Macaca fascicularis: one gene and its partner. The protein of the gene in region 1 interacts with the protein of each later gene in a biochemical or structural test. Links are inferred from orthologs where the notes say so. Each region holds a gene or a part of one and is shown on either strand. Other genes may lie near its edges.

Evidence for each region.
Region 2: the proteins of SH2D1B (region 1) and SLAMF1 interact in a test that uses a peptide from one of them, tested with the Homo sapiens proteins (2 studies listed by BioGRID). The link is inferred for Macaca fascicularis from reciprocal best matches to the Homo sapiens genes SH2D1B and SLAMF1.

The regions. Positions count from the first base shown.
Region 1 is NC_088375.1:98,663,667-98,668,044, forward strand, and holds the start of SH2D1B (SH2 domain-containing protein 1B), read left to right. Parts: upstream 1-1,378; 5' UTR 1,379-1,489; coding exon 1,490-1,623; intron 1,624-4,378. UniProt on the Homo sapiens protein: Cytoplasmic adapter regulating receptors of the signaling lymphocytic activation molecule (SLAM) family such as CD84, SLAMF1, LY9 and CD244. In SLAM signaling seems to cooperate with SH2D1A/SAP.
Region 2 is NC_088375.1:100,376,319-100,380,720, forward strand, and holds the start of SLAMF1 (signaling lymphocytic activation molecule), read left to right. Parts: upstream 1-1,337; 5' UTR 1,338-1,419; coding exon 1,420-1,495; intron 1,496-4,402.

The DNA of each region.
Region 1 (4,378 bases):
CAAGATATTGCCAAACCATCTTTTACTATAGTTGTAACTATTTTTTATTCCAACGAATGATATACAAGATATTCTATTTTCTTTCACCATGACCAACCCAGTAAGCTTTCAAACTTTTGATTTTCACCAATATGATAGGTGAGAATTGTTATCTCAGCATGGAGGTAATTTGAATTTCTTTTATTGTGAGGATTGGATTTTGAAACAGGAAAAAGGGCAAGCAAGCCCCTCTTGGTCAAGAGTCTGAGCATGCTTTGTTATTTCCTCTCTTATGTCAAAAAGCATCTTCACACCACAATTGTGAATTTATTCACAAGAATTACCAAATTTCTTCTTTCGTTATTAACAACTCTGTCTTCAACTGCCATAGTTTCCAGAGAATTGAATGATGAATTGTCCAAAACCACAGAAGAAATGTTGCTATTTGAGAGCATATCTCTCTGATAACAAGTTCCTCAATCAGTGAAACTACCCTATGCCAAATGCAAAGAGTGGGAATTCCAAGGAAGAACAAAGATCTGTTACAAGTAAGTTCCATATAAGATACACCCAAGTGTGAGTAAACAGCTGGTAAGCAAAGGAGCAAGGTGAAATAAACACCTAGGTTAAGAAGTTAAGATCTCCAGGTACTTCAGAGATGAAGAAAAAAAAAAAAAAGAAGAAGAAGCTAAGAGAAGTAAAGATGAATCATTAGCACATAGTTCTATTTTCATAGATAACATTTTTGAGATATATATACTGATTTTCTGTAGACGTATGAGTATACCCAGATATCCCTCCCACCTGCACCAGCCCTTTCTCCAAAAGGAACAATGCTTGAAGGTGTTCAAATGGCCTTTTTTCACCAGTGGCTGGGAGCCTTAGCCATGGAATGGGCTGTTCTCATGCATAGTGTCCCACTGTTTTTTATTCCCATTAATGTCTTCCATTTTTAGTGTCATTTGACCCATGGAAATCCCACCCTTTCAATTTTCCCACTGTATCTGAGCGTATCAATTCTCTCAGCATCCAAATGCTTTTTGAGCACCCAGTCTAAGGCAAGCATAGCCCAATCCTAGGCAACTTCAGCAGAAAGTGGGTACCATTAGAGCAAAAGTAGTGGTGTGCTTCCTGGAAGGGATACCAGTAGCCAGAGGTGATAATAGTCCATGGTAACATACAAGGCTTCAACAAGTTCCAGGAAGCTTGACTTCAGCATTGCCTCCCTAGCTATGAGCATCACTGATTCCATTGTGTGTTTAAATGTGCTTTACCCACTTCTGCAAGTCACATGTGGGCCATTTAGAGGGTGAAAAGTGTTGGTCATTTTATAACCCCGCCCTTCTAATTTCCTGAATCTTGTGAAGCTGGCTGAGTCCTGCAGACCACTAGAGGAAGAGGTATTTCCACAGTAGGTACAACTGCTTGCACATTTCTCCCCAGAGCTGTCCCTTGACTTGGGGGTGAATTTCAGGCCAACAGGGCTACCTGGGATACAAGAGGGTTCTCCATGGATCTGCCTTACTACCACGGACGTCTGACCAAGCAAGACTGTGAGACCTTGCTGCTCAAGGAAGGGGTGGATGGCAACTTTCTGTTAAGAGACAGCGAGTCGATACCAGGAGTCCTGTGCCTCTGTGTCTCGTGAGTAGCCTCATTTTGCACACATCTGACATCGTATGTTGAATGTGGCAATGGCTGCCACACAGTACAGGAATTCATATCCCTCAGTATTTCACTCTGACTTTGGAGTCTCAATGAGTACAGTGAGAACTAATGGACACTGCCAGGACAGGAATGTATCTGTCCATGCTCCTCCATCTGCCTGCTCTCCCTAGTGTAAGGGCCCTGCAAGCAGACTCTGCAGCAGCAGGAGGGATATGGTGGTGGGGAAGGGAAGGGCTGCAGAAAGTATAGGGGTGCAGGGGGATGGAGCAAAGGTACAGGGGGATGGAGAAAATGTCAGAGGTCCTGTCCTCCAGAGATCTGTTTATTTGGTATGGAAAAGGCTAGGGGTTCTTTAAGAAGTTTCAATCTGAAGGACTACTTATTCTGCAGCATCCGCTTGCAATAGTTAAACTATAAATACAATCATATTTCACATTTTGTCAGATTTGTAAAGGACTTCAATATTCATCATTTCCTTTCATCCTTGTAGTCTATCGAGGCAAGCATAAGCAGTCACCATTTCATAAGTAAAGAAACAGAGACCTGAATTTCTCAAATAATTTGTTTGTGTTAAAACTCATTTGGAATTTCCAGAGTCTAAGTTAAATATGAAATTCCAGGCCGGGCGTGGTGGCTCATGCCTATAATCCCAAAACTTTGGGAGGCTGAGGCAGGCGAATCACTTGAAGTCAGGAGTTTGAGACCAGCCTGACCAACATGGCAAAACCGCATCTCTACCAAAAATACAAAAATTAAGCTGGTGTGGTGGCGTGTGCCTGTAATACTAGCTACTTGAGAGACTGAGGCAGGAGAATCACTTGATCCCAGGAGGCAGAGGCTGCAGTGAGCTGAAATTGCACCACTGCACTCCAGCCTGGGCAATAGAGGGAGACTCTGTCCCAAAAAAAGTAAAAAGAGTGGCTGGGCATAACGTCTCACTCCTGTAATCCCAGCACTTAGGGAAGCGGAGGCAGATGAATTACCTGAGGTTGGGAGTTGGAGACCAGCCTGACCAAAAAAAGAAACCCCGTCTCTACTAAAAATACAAAATTACAGGTGTGGTGGCACATGACTGTAATCCCATCTATTTGGGAGGCTGAGGCAGGAGAATCGCTTGAACCCGGGTGGCGGAGGTTGCAGTGAGCTGAGATGGCGCCATTGCACTCCAGCCTGGGCAACAAAAGCAAAACTCCATCTCAAAAAGAAAAAAGAAAAAGAAAAAAAGAATTCCAGGCCACAGTATCAAAGAGACCCAGCTGAAGGAACTTGTTTGTGCCCAGTTTAGAAAGCAATCCTGAACAGAAATCACTAGAAACCTCCTATTTTTATATATGTTCCTCTTTGTAAAGTAGGGACCACTGAACCTTTTACTATACCTGTAACAGAAATTAAAATCTAAGTGTCTCTTGTTAAAGAAAAAAATTGCTTAATGTCCCTTGTTAAATTATGGTTGGGAAGACTTTATTCAGGATCATCACAAAGGTACAGTGACCACTGCAATGAGCTCTTGCGGTGCAGAAGATAGATTGGACTCAACTCTGAATCCAGCATGGAGAAGTGGGAATTTATGGCCAAGGAGCAGTGTGGCTGTCAGTAGATAGAAAATTACTCAGAGGAAACATCAGGGGTAAAGTGGATTCTGGCTAAGCCAGCCTAACAGAACTGTAACTGAAGACAGGCCAGGGTGATCAGATGTTGCCTGGGGGATGGTGGAGGATGAGGAATCTGATCAGAATCTGACAGTGATCAGATAGCTAGGGTGAGGGAGGAGTCCTTGCCAAACTGACATAGTAGAGTTCTTTGCCAAAACTTGATTTTACAAGGAAGTACACAAATGGGCCTTGGAATAGGCTCAGAAGTCTGATTATAGACAAAGGTGATTGTCATTACTAATAGAATACATAGGGACATATTTCTTTCTTTAAATGGTAATGGAGATACAGGCTATTTCTCTCATACCTACATCCACAGTACCATTTAAAGAAAAATATATATTGGCAAGGCACGGTGGCTCATGCCTGTAATCCTAGCAATTTGGGAGGCTGAGGTGGGCGGATCACTGATGTCAGGAGTTTGAGACCAGCCTGGTCAACATAATGAAACCCCCATCTACTAAAAATACAAAAATTAGCCAGGCATGGTGGGTGCACCTGTATCCCAGCTACTTGGGAGGCTGAGGCATGAGAATCACTTGAACCCAGGAGGCAGAGGTTGCAGTGAGCTGAGATTGCGCCATTGCCTGTGAGACAGAGAGAGACTCTACATCTCCAATAAAATAAAATAAACAAAGAGTGGATAAGATCTGATTACATGTAAATGGGATGGAGGGCATTTTATGAAGGGGAGGAGGTAGGAACAGGAGTCTAGAACTAGGTTATTTTAAAGGATTTACATACAAGGTTCCTAAAATGTAGTTTGGAAACCAGCTTTTGGAAAAGGAGGGTGGGATAAGATAATGGAGTTTTACAAGAATGGTTCTATAGATAGCAGGGAAACATGGATGATTTCTGAGCAGGGAAGTGATAAGACTGGTGAATTTAGGAACTTCGATCTGATATGGAGAAGACAATGAAGCTGGGAAATGATGGCAACAGAAACTGTTGTGCCTCTAGACGGGAGATGGTGAACAGCTAGTTGTGCTGGGGCAAGCAGTGGGAAGGGAAAAAAGAAGAAGGTGGAAGGACAGACCTTGGACAGGATCTCAGGGTATATGATCAATATTGGGATTCTC
Region 2 (4,402 bases), about 1.7 Mb from region 1:
AAAGAAAAGAAATCAGTATATTGAAGAGATATCTGTATTCTCATGTTTATTACAGCACTATTCACAATAGCCAAGGTTGGAAGCAACCTAAGTGTCTATCACAGATGAGTGAATAAAGAAAATGTGTTACATATACACAATGGAGTACTATTCAGCTAAAAAAGAATTAGATCCTGTCATTTGCAACGATGTGGATGGAACTGAAGATCATTATGTTAAGTGAAATAAGCCAGGCACAGACAGACAAACTTCACACGTTCTCACTTGTGGGAGGTAAAAAGTAAAACAATTGAACTTGTGGACAGAGAGTAGAAGGATGGTTACCAGAGGCTGAAGGGTAGTGGGGGTTGGGGAAGAAGTGGGGATGGTTAATGGGTACAAAAAATAGAAAGAATGAATAAGAACTAGTATTTGATAACACGACAGTGTGACTATAGTCAATAATAATTTAATTGCACATTTAAAAATAACTAAAAGTATAATTGCATTGTTTGTAACACAAAGGATAAATGTTTGAGGTGATGGATACCCCGTTTACCCTGTGTGATTATTACGCATTGCATGCCTCTATCAACATATCTCATATACCCCATACATCTATATATATACATACTGACTATGTACACACAGACGTTAAAAATTAGGAAAAAACAAACACAACAAGGAGACTGAGCTGGAAGGATGGAGCTCTGGGATAGATTTGTCCTACATCCCTGCCTGGGAGGGAATCCACACACATGTGAGAAGACAAACTAGGAGCATGGGACACTAAATTATACCACATTGCACTCATTGGGGTCACAGGGTTTCTTCCAAGTGACCCGCACTTGCCCATCCCATCTCTCTGTGACAGTGGCACCCGCACCAGACTACATGTTGAAGTGTTATCTGAAATTATGAAATAAAACAGAAGTAAGAGGTCTATGAGCTCATCAAAATGCAGTCATCTAAATTCAGCTGTGAACTGCCAAATTTGAGGAGTGATCTGACAAAACATCTTTTCTTTGCAATCCAAGAAGACTTACCGGAGAGAACTGCTCAGATAATCTGCAACATCCGGTTCCTGGAGGCAGCTAAGGAAAGAAGCAGGGGTGCATGTTTCTGCCCAAAGCCGGGGTTTGGCCGAGGTGACTACACACCCCCTTTCCTGGCTCCCATAGGCTAAGTGCCTGGCTTCTTGAGAAGCCTGCTTCTTGAGAAGAAAAAAGTGATTTAAAGCCTCATGGGAGATGAGCAATCCTCAAGACACAAGCAGAAAAAGTCCCGGTGATACAGGAAGCGGGTTCAGGAACCTGCTGGTTCCTGATACATAAATTAGACAGCAGAGGCAGCACTGCATGACACGAAGCTCGCTCTGCCTAGCGTCTGTGAGCAGCTGCCAGGCTCTGACCAGGACCCCTTCCTTCTCCTCACTGGCTGATGGATCCCAAGGGGCTCCTCTCCTTGACCTTTGTGTTATTTCTCTCCCTGGCTTTTGGGGCAAGCTATGGAACAGGTGAGTGTTCATCTGCCTGATGGTTTGAGTCCCACGTTAGCTGCCTGGAATCAGCATATCTTCGTGGATGGAGAGAAGGTGCAGGGCTGGGGATTGTGTTTGGTCACTCTTCCTTAGGGACTGGCTGTCAGTTTCAACTGCCTCTTTCAAAGAGGAAGGAACATTATGAGTTCCTGGGCCCCTGGGTTTCCAAGACTCAAGCCCACCAGCCCCTTTTCCAAGGAAATGAGGAGCTCTAAGCCAAAGGCTCCAGTCACTTCTCTGACCAGTCTTAGGGTGACAGGCTCTGGTAGAAGTCCTGGTTGAGTGGTTGGTTTTACATGGGCATTTTTCTGGCAAAGATCCAGCCTAGAGAGACTGAGCTGGATGGAGTGAGCTCTGGGAGATGATTTGCCCTACATCCCTGCCCTAGGAGGGAATCTGTGCCCATGCAGCCTGACAAACCAGGAGCATGGGTCAACAGAAAGCATTGGCTAGAATGGGAAGAGAGAGTAGAAGTGAAAACTCCAGGCTTTTGGCTAATAACCAGCAGTGACCACAGTGCGGTCATACTGGTGTGTATTTTCTTGGAAGAGAAGGTCCAAGAAAGCAAGAGGGAAGAAGTTGGGATTTCTGGAGCCTAGGGCTGGTTACAGTATGTGGGAAATGCAAATTGGGGACCCTCAGAGAGTAGCTCCAGCAGGAAGGCCAGACAAGGGCTACCTTTGGATCTGGACTCTGTTCCTGTCTTTCTGGATATCTTCTTCCCAAGGCAAGCTCTTGCTTTCTGTTTAGAAGTATCAGGGCTATGAGAAAAGGTATTTGAGAAAGAAAAAGCCAAGCAAGAAGTGGACTTTGGACTGCCTGTGTGAGTGGGGTGAGAATCTCTTTCTGCTTATTTGTTTAGACTGTGGGAGGTAGCCTGGAGTAGAAGAGGTGGCATTACGGACAGGGGGGGAAATCCTGAGGCCCAGGGTGTTTTAAGCTTGGGGTTTTCAAGACCGCAAATCCAATATGGACTTTTCCAGGAAAAGCACCGAGATATACCAGGGATGTGGGGGTGCTGCACAATGGATGTGTCTTTTACCAGACAGCCAGATGAACAGGGCTTGCTCAGCCACTTCCTTTTGGAATCTGCAGACCCATGGGTCATACTTCCCAAGGTCTAGGAGAGACAGAACTGAGCTCAGGGCTCAGAAAACCAAACTGAACCACTTTAAGTGGTCACAGGGAAAGCCACGCTTCCCTCGTTGCAACCAATTTGTGACTGCACCATTTTTGGAGCACTTCTTGGTGACTGTAAGGAGTGATGGTGCTGAACTGTGAGCTGGACTTTTCCATCTCTGTGCTTGCTAGCCTCTTGGCCAGCCTGGCCCATAGCATCTTAGGCACTGCTGACCAATAGCTGGTCCTACTGAGGCTTTGGAAGTCACCGGTCAGGGAGAAGCAGCCCAGCCCCACAAGGCAAGTCTATCCAATCGGAGGCTGCTCACTTCATTGCATGTTTTCTTCTTTGAATCTTCACAAAAGCTTTTCAGTGTTTTTATTTTTAAATACACACCCTTTTGTGAAGCCCCAATAAAACCCAGGCAGAAATGCTTTGCAAATGCGGCAGGTTAGTCATGACAGATTTGCCCAAGCAAGAAGCTTGATACTTGTAAAACTGGCACCCACTCCCATTCTCATTTCTACTCAGCTCAACTTCTAATTCCCAGTCAGAATTGTAAAAATCAAAAAGTCCACATGTCCCTTCCCCAAGTAAAGTGAATTTTTCATTTCCCCAATGAGATTTGTTTTAATAGACTTTATTTTTTAGAGCAGTTTTAGGTTCACAGCAAAGTTGGGCAGAAAGAACAGAGATTTCCCATATACCCTCTGCCCCATATATGCATAGCCTCCCCTGTTATCAATATCCCCCACCAGGGTGGTACATTTGTTATAATTGATGACTTTACCTCAGTGAGTTTTTTTATTCCTCCATGCAGGTCCTCCGCACCCCCTTCACACACTTTGGGGGAAGGTGAGGGACAAGTGTGTGGGTTCTAGACTTGGCCTAACCTTGTATGTTCAGTGGCCCATTCTATCCCAAGATGTCAATCTAGGCACTTCTATTTCTCAAAAATGTTAATACTGTGATGTCATGTGATGCTGTCACTTTCATTGTCTCCCTCACTGGACTGGAAATCAGAGTATCAGGGCTAATTGTTTTTATCCATAGATTGACTTTGAATGATCCCATTCAGCAGCTATTAAGGACAAATGATGTGGCAGCCACATCATTTGTCAAGGGTGCAAGGGTGCAAGGTGTGGGGAAAACAAAATGAACAACAGCCACTGCGCAGCACCTGACACTTTCTGTACTGAAAGCCTGTACACAAATGTTTGTTGAGTGAATAATATTAGTATATACTGCATACTTGCTTTATACCAGGCACTGTTCTAAATGCTTTATGTGTGTCAGTCATTTCATTTTCACACCAAGCCTATAAGATATGTATGTATTATTGGTACCATTAAAACTTTATAAATGGGGAAAGGGGCACAGAGTAGTTTAGCAATTTCTCTGTGCTCACATAGCCATCTGACTCCAGAGGCCTCAATGAGTGAAACTGGACAAGCCCATGTTTGGGAAGCAGGGGTGGGGAGAATGCCACAATTTGTATCCAGATTCCATGGTAAAAATTAGAATGTGCTATCTATAATTGAAAAATATGAGTGGAATTGAATTGAGATAAATTGAAGTATAGAAATGTTCAAAAGGTGAGAGACTGATAAAAATTATAGAAGAATGGAGAGGGCATATAAGAAGTATTTGACCTGTAATTTGGAAAATGAAAACGTTTTTTTCATCATGCAAACATTCATTTAATTTTTTTGTTAACTAGTTTGTTTATTGATTATCACATCTGTAAAACATGCCATGTCTAT